Saccharomyces cerevisiae S288C: one gene and its partners. The main gene of each other region encodes a partner of the protein of the gene in region 3 in a complex. Each region holds a gene or a part of one and is shown on either strand. Other genes may lie near its edges.

What was found.
Region 1: MRPL15 (region 3) and MRX14 share a complex: the UniProt entries of both Saccharomyces cerevisiae proteins name them as parts of the mitochondrial large ribosomal subunit.
Region 2: MRPL15 (region 3) and MRPL35 share a complex: the UniProt entries of both Saccharomyces cerevisiae proteins name them as parts of the mitochondrial large ribosomal subunit.
Region 4: MRPL15 (region 3) and MRPL20 share a complex: the UniProt entries of both Saccharomyces cerevisiae proteins name them as parts of the mitochondrial large ribosomal subunit.

What each region holds. Positions count from the first base shown.
Region 1 is NC_001136.10:679,420-682,992, forward strand, and holds MRX14 (mitochondrial 54S ribosomal protein bL34m MRX14), read left to right. Parts: upstream 1-2,755; coding exon 2,756-3,073; downstream 3,074-3,573. Other genes in the region: alanine transaminase ALT2, read right to left, coding at 1-345; PDS1 (securin), read right to left, coding at 1,077-2,198; YDR114C (uncharacterized protein), read right to left, coding at 2,505-2,807; mitochondrial 54S ribosomal protein uL1m MRPL1, read right to left, coding at 3,305-3,573. UniProt on the Saccharomyces cerevisiae protein: Component of the mitochondrial ribosome (mitoribosome), a dedicated translation machinery responsible for the synthesis of mitochondrial genome-encoded proteins, including at least some of the essential transmembrane subunits of the mitochondrial respiratory chain.
Region 2 is NC_001136.10:1,108,416-1,112,438, forward strand, and holds MRPL35 (mitochondrial 54S ribosomal protein mL38 MRPL35), read left to right. Parts: upstream 1-2,173; coding exon 2,174-3,277; downstream 3,278-4,023. Other genes in the region: DAD4 (Dad4p), read right to left, coding at 1-83; asparaginase ASP1, read left to right, coding at 287-1,432; TIM11 (F1F0 ATP synthase subunit e), read right to left, coding at 3,588-3,878. UniProt on the Saccharomyces cerevisiae protein: Component of the mitochondrial ribosome (mitoribosome), a dedicated translation machinery responsible for the synthesis of mitochondrial genome-encoded proteins, including at least some of the essential transmembrane subunits of the mitochondrial respiratory chain.
Region 3 is NC_001144.5:757,496-761,171, forward strand, and holds MRPL15 (mitochondrial 54S ribosomal protein mL57 MRPL15), read left to right. Parts: upstream 1-1,984; coding exon 1,985-2,746; downstream 2,747-3,676. Other genes in the region: ATG39 (Atg39p), read right to left, coding at 142-1,338; SPH1 (Sph1p), read right to left, coding at 3,255-3,676. UniProt on the Saccharomyces cerevisiae protein: Component of the mitochondrial ribosome (mitoribosome), a dedicated translation machinery responsible for the synthesis of mitochondrial genome-encoded proteins, including at least some of the essential transmembrane subunits of the mitochondrial respiratory chain.
Region 4 is NC_001143.9:598,270-601,782, reverse strand, and holds MRPL20 (mitochondrial 54S ribosomal protein mL58 MRPL20), read left to right. Parts: upstream 1-2,101; coding exon 2,102-2,689; downstream 2,690-3,513. Other genes in the region: DEAH-box RNA helicase PRP16, read right to left, coding at 1-1,926; ribosome dissociation factor GTPase HBS1, read left to right, coding at 2,893-3,513. UniProt on the Saccharomyces cerevisiae protein: Component of the mitochondrial ribosome (mitoribosome), a dedicated translation machinery responsible for the synthesis of mitochondrial genome-encoded proteins, including at least some of the essential transmembrane subunits of the mitochondrial respiratory chain.

The DNA of each region.
Region 1 (3,573 bases), on a different chromosome or scaffold from region 3:
GGAAAACAAGTTCAAAGAAGCCAGTTCATTATGGCCTACTCGTAAAATTTCCGGGTACTCCAGGATGGCCAGTACTTGCCTGGTAAAGGTCAAAGGCTTCTGATCCAGTTGCTGCGGATTACCAATGTTCGCATTGATAATATCATCGAAAGGCAAAACTTCTGGGTTTTTTTTCAATTCCTCTTTTAGCTCGTCAGCTCTGGTTGGAATAGCTCCTCTTACAGCATATTCTGCCTTAGTGACACCTGTATTCAAATCTTTTTTAGTAATCTTGCCAGCGGGCTTAAAATCCAAATCCTTTGCGGTGAACACACCTTTCAAATCCTGTTGGTGTGTCATTGTCATGTGTTCTTACTTCTTCTGTGTTTACCACTTACAAAAACAACACTACTGTGGCGCTCCTTCCCTTTATTCTTATCTTTTATGCCTCTAGAGATATGAGGAAATATTGGGGTATTTACTGAATGAGAAAAGGATGATGTCAGTCAAGAAAGGATCAAAAAGAAAAGTGAACAGAATATAGTTCCCACACGAAGTAGTAAATTTAGCTATCCTAAAAGTGTATTGGTAATTTGAAGAGATATGTAGATGTACATATGGGACCATAAGAGTAGGAAAAATAAAATAAAATCGCCAAACAAGTAGGAGAAGCCTCAAGATACAAGCCGTTTCCATGGAGAAAATATTGCGAATGAGGCCAAACTTGAACTTTTTTTTTTTCTGCTAAAAAATTCAGAAAAAAAATGAAATTATTTTCTTAGGTATAATGAAGTAATTATGACGAAGTACTTTGAGAACCCATAAAGAGAAGCAATTGAAGACGTGTGGAGGACATCAGCCCGCAGCACATTAGTAGAAACAATAGTATCGTGATGTGATCCCTCTTGGACCCTTTGCCAATCAAGGGTGAAGCGAAGCCATTTAAAACGTACGAACAATGGCGGTAGTTGAGGTATGGGTGAGGCCGCAGATTAAATCCCGGCGGCAGGAGCAACCGCTTTTAACCAGAATTGTATGTTATAAAGTATCTGTATATACGTGTATATATGTTGTGTGTATGTGAATGAGCAGTGGATCTAAGTAACTAAGTCCTCTAGTTCTTCAGGATCGAGGCCTTCTTCGCTGTACACTAACTCCATGGTTGGGACGGCGGCAACTTCTTTGAAGTTCTTAGACAGCAGTGGTAACGCTGCACCTTCTTCTTGATTCCGAGTGATGCACTCAGTCTCATCTTTTTCGCCTTCTTCATCAATTTGTTCTAGTGGGAGTAAATCAACTTTATCTGGGGTGTCATCTTCGTCTTCCAAGTCAAGCTTATATGGTGAGTTGAACGTCTTCAGCTTTTCAATATCATCTTGTTGAAATGGGGAATAGCCTTCTGGTACATACGGTAACGGCTCCTGCCTCTGTGGTGCTATTTCGATATCATAGTCATCAGTTTTATCACTTTTATCGTTTTTAGTTTTTTGCTCATTCTTCGTGGAGTTCTTTATGAGTTGTTGCAGACCACCTTGCTCATTAAATAGTCCTAGGCCACCATTTAATTCATTTTCACCGTCGGAGGAATCCTGTTTTAAAAGTGCACTTTGGAGTTTTTTGCCAAGTTTACTCTCGGAATCTTCATTACCTTCATCATCGTCGGAACTCTCTTCATTTTTACCTGAATCTGCAAGATCTTTTAAAACTAGACTTTTCATTTTAGGTAAAGCATTATAACCAAGGACAGAACCGTACTTTTGTAACTTTCTTGAATTGCTTAACAAATCATTATGGTTGGCCCTACTACGACTGCGAGAAATTTGCGAAAGTTTCCTGAGTTGGTCGTTTTTGCGTATAGATAGTGTATTCTGTAGTTGTGGTAAGTCTGCATCTTTACTCTGATTAGAAGTTTCGGGAAAAATAAAGCTTTTCGATCTATTGTTGTCTTTTGCTGCCAGAGGCAATCTTCCTTGTTGTTGCGCATGGGTATGCAACCTTTTTGTGGGTGACACCTCCTTCCCTCCTTGTATGTACTTTAATGTGTTGCCATTGTTGCTGTTCGCATCCCTTTTGAGTTGGTCCAATCTTACAGGTGGTTTTAAAATATTAGAGTGCGACCTTTTCAGCAAGTGAGCCGGCGTCTGTGGAAAGTTAATGCCGGAACTTTCATTCCCTGTATATACGATATTATTCTCTTTATCTTCGTTAGCTGGCATCATAAAGGTTTATTATCTAGCACTTAATCTAGCTTGGTACCGCAGAAGTGTAATAGTATGTGAATGGGAAAAACCGCTAGCAACCGTTACTTGCCTTCGCCGAATATTGATTTAAAGCTGCATTTATTTTGTTTGTTTATTTTGTTTGTTTTTCTTTTTGACCTCTTACACGAGTTTTTTGACGCGTTTGAGATCTTTGTGTGAAAACGATAAGCAACCTACGCTAACAAATACACACGTCGCACGGAAAGTGATAGTGAAGCAGATATTTCTCGCAAATCCTATGTTATCCGTAAAATAAATCCAACCCTAAAGTATTAACATGTAACAACTTAAGCGCTTCCTTAAGACTGTATAGATATATATATATACATATATATACATAATCATGAAACGCATCGTCGAAAGGTCATTTGAAGCTCGGATCACGTGATCGAAAGCTGTAAGGAATTTGAAAAGCCAATTTTCCCGTAGAAGCTGTGAGGTACAACAAGTGAAATAACTACAGGAGAAACTCACTGAGAAACGTTGGAATAGAACAGTAGTAATCGCAGGACGGAATGCCACTATTTGCAAGGCTCTGCCAGCCTCAATCAAGAAGAATGTTTTCATCTATATCTTCTTTCTCTGCTCTATCTGTGTTACGCCCACAAACCGGTATGCTCTTAAACAGTTCACCATTGAAGACTCCGTCCTTCACACCGTTGGGATTTGGCTTAATAGGTCAAAGAAGATGGAAATCAAGGGGTAACACCTATCAACCTAGTACATTGAAACGGAAGAGAACTTTTGGTTTCTTGGCTAGGGCCAAGAGCAAACAGGGCTCTAAGATATTGAAAAGGAGGAAGCTCAAAGGTAGGTGGTTTTTGTCTCATTGAAATTTCACATACTATTCAGATAAATTTGAATACTTCTTGTACATAGGTATCTAATGATTATGCAACATACACTTTCACTATTATTCAAAAATAAAAGAGCAGTTACTTTATTCCACTTTAAAAAGACGGTTACTTTGTATGTACATGATTTTATATAAAAAGAAAGAAAATGCACCAGTATATATATATATACAATTAAAAAAGTCCAACAAGACAAAACTGATTCGCTGATTAAGCAAAATCGATTACAATACCGGGGCCATGTGTGCTTGATAATGTGGTTTTACTCAGTATATTTGGTTTCTTAGATTTTTGATTATCAACAGCAGTTTTAAATGCCGCTCTAGCGGATATAATGTTTTGTAAAATTTCTCGATCAGTGAAGTAGCATTTGCCGACTCCAATGCTGATAGAGTTTCCCCTTTGCCTGAAAGGCATAGATCCTAGACTTTCTTGAAGTAAGGAGCTTATATCATCACTCACCGTACCTTTTTTGACAG
Region 2 (4,023 bases), on a different chromosome or scaffold from region 3:
GCCACGCTCTCATTGAGCCTTTTGACATTACCAATTATTCGCGAAAGTATGTTAGCCTGCACTTGTTCATGAGGGTTCTCCATGTTATGCTTTCTTTCCTAAACTCACTTCTTTTCCTCCCTATCTGCTTTTGTTTATTACAGTTGAAGGCTACTTGTGCCGTTCGTGTGAAAAAATACTCGATGAAAAAAAAAAAAAAAAGATGATGACGATGACTTTGTTGAAGAAATGTGTTTGAAGACAGTGGAGGATAACAGCACTCTCATCGCACTTTTGGAAGCGTATCATGAAAAGCGATTCAGTTGAAATCACTACCATCTGCCCAGATGTTGAAAATTCTCAGTTTGTTGTGCAAAGCAACTGTCCAGAGACTATTCCAGAGATTCTAAAGTCTCAAAATGCCGCTGTGAATGGCAGCGGCATCGCTTGCCAACAACGTAGCTTACCAAGAATCAAAATCTTGGGTACCGGTGGTACTATTGCATCGAAAGCTATAGACTCCTCTCAAACTGCCGGCTATCATGTTGACCTGACCATCCAAGATCTATTGGATGCCATTCCAGATATATCCAAGGTCTGTGACATTGAATATGAGCAACTATGCAACGTGGATTCTAAAGACATAAACGAGGATATTCTTTATAAAATTTATAAGGGCGTCTCAGAATCGTTGCAGGCTTTTGACGGTATAGTTATTACCCATGGGACTGATACGCTATCTGAAACTGCATTCTTTATTGAAAGTACTATTGATGCTGGCGACGTTCCTATTGTTTTTGTTGGTTCGATGCGTCCTTCAACCAGCGTTTCTGCTGATGGCCCTATGAACCTTTACCAAGCAATTTGCATTGCTTCAAATCCAAAATCTAGAGGAAGAGGTGTTCTTGTTTCCTTGAATGACCAAATTTCCTCTGGTTACTACATTACTAAGACGAATGCAAATAGTTTGGATTCTTTTAATGTTAGACAAGGCTATTTAGGAAATTTTGTCAACAATGAAATTCACTACTATTATCCTCCTGTGAAACCGCAAGGTTGCCACAAATTCAAACTGAGAGTGGACGGTAAGCATTTTAAATTACCAGAGGTTTGCATTTTATATGCTCACCAAGCCTTTCCGCCAGCTATAGTCAACTTAGTGGCAGATAAGTATGATGGTATTGTTCTTGCTACCATGGGTGCTGGTTCATTGCCGGAGGAGGTCAATGAAACCTGCATGAAATTGAGTTTGCCGATCGTATATTCCAAGAGATCGATGGATGGTATGGTGCCTATTGCCAACGTACCAAAGAAAGGTTCAAAGGAGGATAATCTCATCGCATCTGGTTATCTAAGCCCTGAAAAGAGCAGAATCTTGTTACAATTATGTTTGGCAGGTAACTACACGTTGGAAGAAATTAAACATGTTTTCACTGGCGTCTATGGTGGGTGAAAATTTTGTAATTTTTTGCATTTGTGTCGATATATATATATATATACATAGACACAGAGATAGAGATATAATTATGCAAGTCCCTGTTAATGCTAGTCTGAGATGAGTACAGGAATTCTTCATTTAGATTGTCTCGGCTATGTCACTTTTCTATCGTTTCACCTGCACATGGCTTTGTCTTGAATACTGAAGCCGTTATTATAGTTCTATCTTCATGTTTTTAGAGGTTTTTTTTAAATGAGTTTATTAAAATTAAATTTTGAATGTTATTTTTGAATAAAAATATAAAAAAAATAATATTAATAATTTTTCATTAACTGCTCATGATATCAGTGCATTAGAAAATCTTTTGGTTCCACTTTTCCTATAAAAATAATTCAAGTTTTATCATTATATCATTTTTAAATATTTGATTATCATCGCCCGCTGGTCACCGCATTTTTAAAGAATAAATATTACTTTTTTCGAAATCTGGTGTTTAAATATTTTTAAGAAAGTTAAAAAATAAGGAATATTTGATAAACAAAAAAAAATTAGCCTTTATATATCCATTTTTGTTTATGTATTCCTTTTTTTATTTTCTTATGTGTTTGGGATTTACTGTCGCAGTCTTTTCAAATTTTCCGGGCTAAACCGGAAGCCGGAAGGTCTGGGATAAGACAACAGTATCCAATACAATATCAGACTACAGCAAAAAGCTTATTCAGAGATCTTTACAGAAATCAAGGTCACTGCCGAACTATGTTACGAAGATCTATTCATACCACTAAAATCCTCCAAAAACCTAATGCTACTTCGCATATTTGGTCGGACTTTACCACAAGGCCTAGTTCACTTTCTATCCAATCTTCAAAAGTGAAAAATTACCTTTTCCAGAAGAAAGCTTCTCTAGACCCACCATCTATCAGCAGAAGAAGTAACCGTATCAAATATTCACCTCCAGAACACATTGATGAGATTTTCAGGATGAGTTATGATTTTCTTGAGCAAAGATCCAGTAAGTTTTATGAGTTGGCCAATAAGACTAAAAATCCCTTGAAGAAGGATGCACTTCTCATAAAAGCAGAGATCAATAATCCTGAGGTACAATACAATTTTCAGTTTAATAACAAGTTGAACAATGTTAAGGATATAATAGATTATGATGTGCCAGTGTACAGACATTTGGGGAAACAACATTGGGAATCGTACGGCCAGATGTTATTGATGCAAAGGTTAGAAACGTTGGCTGCCATTCCTGATACTCTTCCAACTCTGGTTCCACGGGCAGAAGTGAATATCAAATTTCCCTTCTCTACTGGTGTAAATAAGTGGATCGAACCTGGTGAATTTCTATCGTCCAATGTCACATCCATGCGTCCCATTTTCAAAATTCAAGAATATGAACTTGTGAACGTTGAAAAACAATTGTATACGGTACTGATAGTCAATCCTGATGTTCCAGATTTGAGTAATGACTCATTTAAAACGGCTTTGTGTTACGGATTGGTGAATATTAATTTGACTTATAATGACAATTTAATAGATCCAAGAAAGTTCCACAGTTCTAATATTATCGCTGACTACTTACCTCCGGTACCTGAAAAGAATGCTGGAAAACAGAGATTCGTTGTTTGGGTATTCAGACAACCCTTAATCGAGGATAAGCAAGGTCCTAACATGTTAGAGATTGACCGAAAGGAACTAAGTAGAGATGATTTTGATATCAGGCAATTTACGAAGAAATACAATCTAACCGCTATTGGGGCACATATCTGGAGAAGCGAATGGGATGCCAAAGTCGCCGCCGTCAGAGAAAAATATGGCCTACCACCTGGAAGGGTTTTTAGCAGAGTTAGAAGGTGATCCTAAATAGTATGACATTATAGTATCCTGTACATATAAAATAACGTGTCATTGTTAATAAAGCTTGATGCAAATAATATAAAGTAAGAATCTGAAAAATTTTTGGAATGTGAATTTTGTTTACAATACGATACGTATGATATTAGTATGTTCTAGAATATATACATTTCATTTTTTTCCTTATTGTTTGTGCACTAACGAATGAAGAAAAAAATATGGAACATCTAGCGAACGAGAATCCATCATAACTTCGTCATTCAGTGCGAGCTAATGTGCATTTTTAGTATCCTATTTATGTTGAAGCTTCTATTTATGTTGAAGCTTCCTTCAGGGATTCAACGGCGTTAAGAATAACTCTTTCAAAATCTATATTAGGATCTTCCAAATTAAATGAGGCGTTCGCAGGCACATCTTTAGGAGTTACTACAGGGTGTAGCTTGGCGTATTCCTTCTTTGCCTCCTCTACCAGCTTCAATTTCTCCTCGTACTGTGCCTGCTCCTCTTTCTTCTTAGCATTACACTTCAAAATCATATCATTTCTAAAACCAAAAAATAGCCCCAAACCCAACGCAGAGTATCTCAAAACATTAACTGTCGACATCCTTTAACTCACTCAGCTAGTTCCTATATACGTTATGTTCCGATATAATACTTCCTTTTATCTAAAATTTCTGTGTGAAAAGTCAAAAAAACTAAAGAAAAATTTATACCCTTAAATAGATCTGATTGGCTCCGCGGACCAATTA
Region 3 (3,676 bases):
GAGATGCACCTTTTCTATTCTCAATAAAAAAAGGAAAGTAAGTGTAAAAAAATTTAAAGGAGGGATATATGACACTCCTACTAAGCAGTCGTTTTTTTTTTCTTTTGTTAATTTCATTCTTCATGCTGGGTTTTGGATGATCTAGTGTTTGCACTTAAAATAATTTTTTTTCCTGCATTCTGACATCGCTTTATACATCCTCGAATGCTGTAATTTCAATCCGAACCGTTTCAGCTGCTTTACAAACCAGTTGGTATCTTTGCGAACCTTAAACTGAAAAACTCGGAATGGTTTCATTGACTTGAAACGAAGCTTGCGCAACTGCAATCTGGATCCCGACCAACATTGTTTTGCTTTTTGGCAAGAATGATCGAAATACCTTTTAATATGTGGAGAAAATTGCCTGTATTTATTATGAAGTAGCACAAAGAGCCTTTTCCAGCGGCGTTTCTGTTCTTTATGCAATACCCTTAAACTTTCTTGAGCGGATTTAAAAGAATTCTTGAGAAATAGGTGTAACTTTATTCTTCCTCCGTTTATTTTGTTAATTCTCTTGTGCCAACCGTCTTTCATTCGAGCTTTTGTTGTATACCATAAAATAACTAAGTCTGTTTTGTATCGTCTCCAGCCCATTAGGTCATCATCCTTTAATGGGTATGCAATATGATTGTCGAAGTCGACGTAGTATTTTCCTGAAGGAGCCCACTGACTTAAAGAGTCACTTGATGAATCGTAAGATTTTTTATCAACAAAATCGATATTGCCGTACAACAGCTTCCTTTCATTATTACGTAATGACTGTTGTGATTTAAAACCTGCCAACACATCACCAGTCAGGGAATATTCGAGGGCGAGGTATGAAAAGGTCATGGAAAGCAATGAAGATAGCATGATAACATGCCACATCTTCAATTTAGCAGATTTACCCTCACTTTTATCTATGATATGATCCGATAGTGTGCTAGAATTCCTTATCGTACTATCCTTCAGTTTCGACCCCTCCATACTTGGCAATACCGTTCCGCCAACATTTGAGCCGGACAAAGTATCAAATGACTCTGAAATAGTGGGAACTCCAGTTTGATCAATATTAACTCCAGCATTACTAAATTCATTAGATGTTCTAAAATCGTAAATACGATTCATCTGTGCAGACTCTTCACTGCTAGTGTTCGATAGGACATCTGCATCGAAGTCCTCGTCGTCCTCTCCTGCAAAGGAGCTTTCATGCAAACTATCCAAAGATATTTCTGACTTCGATGACTGTTCTTCCCCTTCTCTCCCTTTACGTAATCTACGTAATCTAACTAAATTCCAATGATCGTCTTCTTCTGACATTTTAGGTCCGACAACTCGACTGTTTTACTAGTCTCTATTATCGTCACTGCGTATTACTCTGCTACTGTGCTTGTTACTTTATACCGGAACAGTAGCTCCTAAACGATTATTCCAAATGAAGAAAAACGTTTGGCCAGTAACCTGCATAAAACTGAATAACTATAATGATACTCCGACTAATAATATATCCCAATGCCCCATCTCATCTGTGTAGATCAATTTTTATGGCTCGATCCAGGTACCTTGATAAGCAGCTGTCGCGCAAAGGGGTTACCGCAAAATGGATAGATGGACCGGGGGCACACCGGGGTAGGGGGTCCGGAGGGTTAACTGTCAACTCCACCCATACAAGACCGCGCAGAAATCGTCGCAGGACCCCGCCGAACGGCGAAAGCAAATATGCAGCCGTAAAGACCTAACAATAAACCTAATGTAGTCATAGGGCTAATTGATTTTAAATATATGACCTAGCTGACTATTCAAGTTTGCCCTAATTGATGAGTTTTTGAAAAAAAAAACAACTTAGGTTTCGCTATCCAAGCTTATGCTATGGGAAGCGTTGGAAAACTTGCATATAGTATGAACAAGAGCGAGATATAAAACTATAACGGTAGATGGAAAGTAAAGAGTAGACAAGCTCGGAAACATGGAAAATAGCATGATGTTTATATCGCGTTCCTTGCGGAGACCCGTTACTGCTTTGAACTGCAATTTACAAAGCGTTAGAACAGTCATATACCTTCATAAGGGTCCGAGAATTAATGGTTTGAGACGAGATCCAGAGTCGTACTTGAGAAATCCTAGCGGGGTACTCTTTACTGAAGTTAACGCAAAAGAGTGTCAAGACAAAGTTAGATCCATACTACAATTGCCCAAGTACGGAATAAATTTATCAAACGAACTGATTTTGCAGTGTTTAACACATAAGTCGTTCGCACACGGGTCAAAGCCATACAACGAAAAACTGAATCTGCTAGGAGCACAGTTTTTGAAACTACAGACGTGCATTCATTCGTTAAAGAATGGTTCGCCGGCCGAGAGTTGCGAGAACGGGCAACTTTCTTTGCAGTTCAGCAATCTGGGAACAAAATTCGCTAAGGAATTAACGTCCAAAAACACAGCATGCACATTCGTTAAATTACATAATCTAGACCCTTTCATATTTTGGAAGATGAGAGACCCAATAAAAGATGGCCACATAAATGGTGAAACCACGATTTTTGCTAGTGTCTTGAACGCATTTATTGGTGCAATTCTGTCAACGAATGGATCTGAAAAAGCAGCTAAATTTATCCAAGGAAGTTTGCTGGATAAAGAAGATCTTCATTCCTTGGTTAACATTGCTAATGAAAATGTAGCATCTGCAAAGGCAAAAATATCCGACAAGGAAAATAAAGCATTTCTGTGAAGATACAAAAAATATAGTTGATGGTTCACTGGCCAAAAATGTATAAAAGAAAAATTTATCTGTAAATAGTGATCGAAATAAAATAAGATAATAACTAAAGAATATATATGACTTTACTGTACAGATCTATAATTGAAAAATGACGAGAGGTCCTGTGAAAGAGTCTGCCTGTTCGCCATCTTCACACATTCAACCAATTCCCTGGTGCGCTTGGTTACTTCCATCAGGATATCTGCTAATTTTTGATAGAATCGTTTCTTCCCAAGCTTTGTGGAATCGCATCCATAAGTACACAATTCCGATAACTTTTGCGAGCAATCTGTGAGCCTTTCAATAATTTCTTTACAGTGCTCGCCTAAATCCAGTTTAAAACTTTTTTGGACCATTGCTTTGGTAGTCATATCAATCACCGATTCCAAAATAGGAATAATCTCGATGGAATTTTGACATAATCTCGAAACTGATCTTGCGGACTTGAACAATTTTGATTTAGAGGCTTGAACATCATTCAAAATGCCCTGCCTGCCATAGGAAGAACAACCATTGATTTACTCTCAACAAATTCGACGAGGTTATTTATGTTAGCGTTGTGCGTGGTTGAGTTGACATCAGAATTATTCAAGTTTTCTTCTGAAGTAGATATTCTTAATCCAAGACCAGAGTTGGGAGCAAATTTCTGCACTTTCTCTCTGAATTTCCTCATTTTGGTCACGGTTGGCGAGTAAAGTACGTCTGCAGCTGGCGGAATATTTGCATACGGCTTCGCCGTTTCTGCCACTGGTTTAGTGATAACTTTCTTCGGAGGTGATGCCTGATAATCCTGCCGAAATTTACCAATTAGCGGCAATGTGTTACCTTGAGGACTTGGACTTCTCGAGTTCGAGACAACTTTCAGAGGCAAACCTTCTCGCGGAGATGGCTCACTCGTAA
Region 4 (3,513 bases), on a different chromosome or scaffold from region 3:
CTCTGCAATATTTGTCGCAATTATAATTTTCCTTTTAGTGCCATGTAGATCCTGAAAAATTTTGAATTGCAAATCTGCAGGTAAAGCCGAGTAGATTGGTAAAATTTCAATATCATTGATCTCTTCAAAGTTTGCGGTACCAAACTTTTTAGAATATACTTGCAAAAACTTTTCTTGCAGAGTGTCGAACGTTGTTTCAATATCTTCTTGACCTGTCATGAAAATGAGAATATCACCGCTTGAACAATCGTTTGCTAAATGAATTTTCACAGCCTGAGAAACTGCAGCTTCTACGTAGTCTTGAACAGGGTTGGAAGTATATATGGTCTGTACGGGGAAAGTTCTTCCAGGAATTGTGAACTGAGGAGCATTACCAAAAAATGCGGAGAACTTCTTCGCATTCATTGTTGCTGAAGTGATTATGAGTTTTAGATCTCTTCTACGTGCTAATAAAATCTTGAAAAAACCTAGTAAAATGTCTGTATTTAATGACCTTTCATGAGCTTCATCAATAATAACACACGAATATTTATCGAGTGTATCATCCAATAAGGTCTCTCTGAGTAGAATACCATCCGTTACAAACTTAAGTTTTGTACACTCAGAATCCGTCACATCTTCAAACCTTATAGAATAGCCTACTTCCTTACCCAATGGAACTTGCATTTCCATTGCAACCCTTTTTGCAACGGATATGGCTGCTACTCTTCTCGGCTGTGTGACAACAATAGATTTCCCCCTATCGTTGGCATATCCTTCTTCATATAAATACTGTGCAAGTTGCGTGGTTTTACCTGAGCCCGTTTCACCAATTATCACCACTACTTGATTTTCTCTTATCAATGATAACAATTGAGATCTGCAGCGGAAAACAGGCAGTTGCTCTTTAGTATGTTTAATGTCATCTTTTGATGGCGTGAAAAGAGCTGTATCGTCGCAAATCTTTTGGTTGCTCTTATCTTTTGCTTTATTGTTATTCTCCAAGCCTAGTACTTCCCCCATGGCAGTGTTCAAAACAGTGGTGTTGTCTCGAGATTGTTGAATATGTTCCATGTTTATCCTTCTCAAGGCAACCAGCTTACTACCTCGTTTGGCGTTCGCAGAAAATTCACTGTCAGGATTCCTAAATGGATTCACCATTGATAAAGCGGATACTTGGCTGGACGTCTCAGAGATGGACCCGATAATTATGGAAGTGGGCACTTTGTTTTCAAGAGCAAACTTTGATAAAAAAGGAGGGATCCATTCCATTCTTTGCTTGAGTGGTATGGGGTATAATTGAACGGTATTTCGTAAGGCATCATCGTTGTCGATATTCCTAATGACAGGTAGTAGTTTCGCTTCCTCAGGCAATTCAGACAGAGGTTCAGGCACCAAATTTCCATAATCATCATCATTATCATACCATTCTCTGTCCTCCTCAACTACTTCGCTTCGAGTCGGTTCATAGTCCTTCGTTTCAGCATGACCATTCTGTGTTTGCTGTTCACTATTTGGAGAAGGATCCTTCACGGTGGGCGAATACTGCCTCAACTGTTTGGCCTTTAGTTTATCTATTCTCTTGAACAACGTCCGTGTAGGTGCTGGTTTTTTTTGAACTGGAGAATCTAGCTCATCTTCATTATCGTCAAGGTCTAACTGGATCTTAAATTTCTTTCTCTTATTTATAGAAGGGGCGATTTTCTTTGGGCCTGTCGAGTCCTCTTCAGATTTATTCTTGAGGAGCTCCAGAAGTTCATTAAAAATGATTGGATTGTTACTGCTGAGTTTCGTCAAAGCTTTACAGCTGGCAATAAACTGTTCTAGATTAGTATTCGGCTTTTGCGCTAGTTTCTGCAGTGTCAAAAGCAACCCAGGCGTTAGTTCTTTTGACGTAAGTTCCTTAAATATGTCTTTTATCCTTTCCTCACGCCCCGAATGACCCATACCAGAGGTATTTGTATTGTCTTTGGGCCTTCTTGTGTTTTATCATCTGCAGTCATCTCATGAATTTTTCAGCTTTCACCGCTTTTATTATTTGAGAAAATAGAAAAGAGGGCAAAAAGAGATACTTTCAACAAGTTAAAATGGAAAATTAAAGACAAAGTAAAATAGCACAAGAATGATTGGCAGAGGTGTGTGCTGCAGATCGTTCCACACTGCTGGATCTGCCTGGAAGCAATTTGGATTTCCCAAAACACAAGTGACAACGATTTACAACAAGACTAAGAGCGCATCTAACTATAAAGGGTATTTAAAGCACAGAGATGCTCCAGGAATGTACTATCAACCATCAGAATCCATCGCAACCGGATCTGTTAACAGTGAGACCATTCCACGTAGCTTTATGGCAGCCAGTGACCCTCGTAGAGGGCTTGACATGCCTGTTCAAAGCACTAAAGCGAAGCAGTGTCCAAATGTTCTCGTAGGTAAGAGCACAGTGAACGGCAAAACCTATCATCTGGGACCTCAAGAAATTGATGAGATCCGGAAGTTACGTCTTGACAATCCTCAAAAGTATACACGCAAATTTTTGGCTGCAAAATATGGCATTTCGCCATTATTTGTATCCATGGTCTCGAAACCTAGTGAACAACATGTACAAATTATGGAAAGTAGATTGCAAGAAATCCAATCACGCTGGAAGGAGAAGAGGCGTATAGCCAGAGAGGACCGTAAGCGTAGAAAACTCCTGTGGTACCAGGCGTGAATGCTATATAAATATAATAACAATCGTGTAAATACTACTCTATAAGTACTTCGTATTCATATATTGATCACAATGCACGGAGACGCCCATTAATGTGACTTGAATATACCACATGAAAGCTAACCAATAAGCAATTTAAAAAGAGTTAAGTACAGCTTGGAGACACCCAAAGGCTTCTGCTTCGACAACTATTGACTATCGAGATGGCTTACAGTGACTACAGCGATGGAGCAGACGACATGCCGGACTTTCACGACGAAGGTGAATTTGATGATTATTTGAATGACGATGAATATGATCTAATGAACGAGGTATTTCCTACTCTAAAGGCGCAGTTACAGGATTACCAAGGCTGGGATAATCTTTCACTTAAGCTAGCTTTGTTTGACAACAATTTCGATTTGGAAAGCACGCTGGCGGAATTGAAGAAAACTTTGAAGAAGAAGAAGACACCAAAGAAGCCAATTGCTGCTGCTAATGGGAGTGCGAATGTTACTCAAAAACTGGCAAACATCTCAATTTCGCAACAAAGGCCAAATGATCGGCTTCCAGACTGGCTTGACGAGGAAGAAAGTGAGGGTGAACGCAATGGTGAGGAAGCCAATGATGAAAAGACAGTTCAAAGATACTATAAGACTACGGTGCCAACGAAACCAAAGAAACCTCATGATATTTCTGCATTTGTTAAATCTGCCTTACCTCACTTAAGTTTTGTTGTTCTTGGTCATGTTGATGCGGGAAAATCAACTCTAATGGGCAGACTACTTTATGATCTGAACATTGTCAACCAATCCCAACTGAGAAAGCTACAAAGAGAGAGTGAA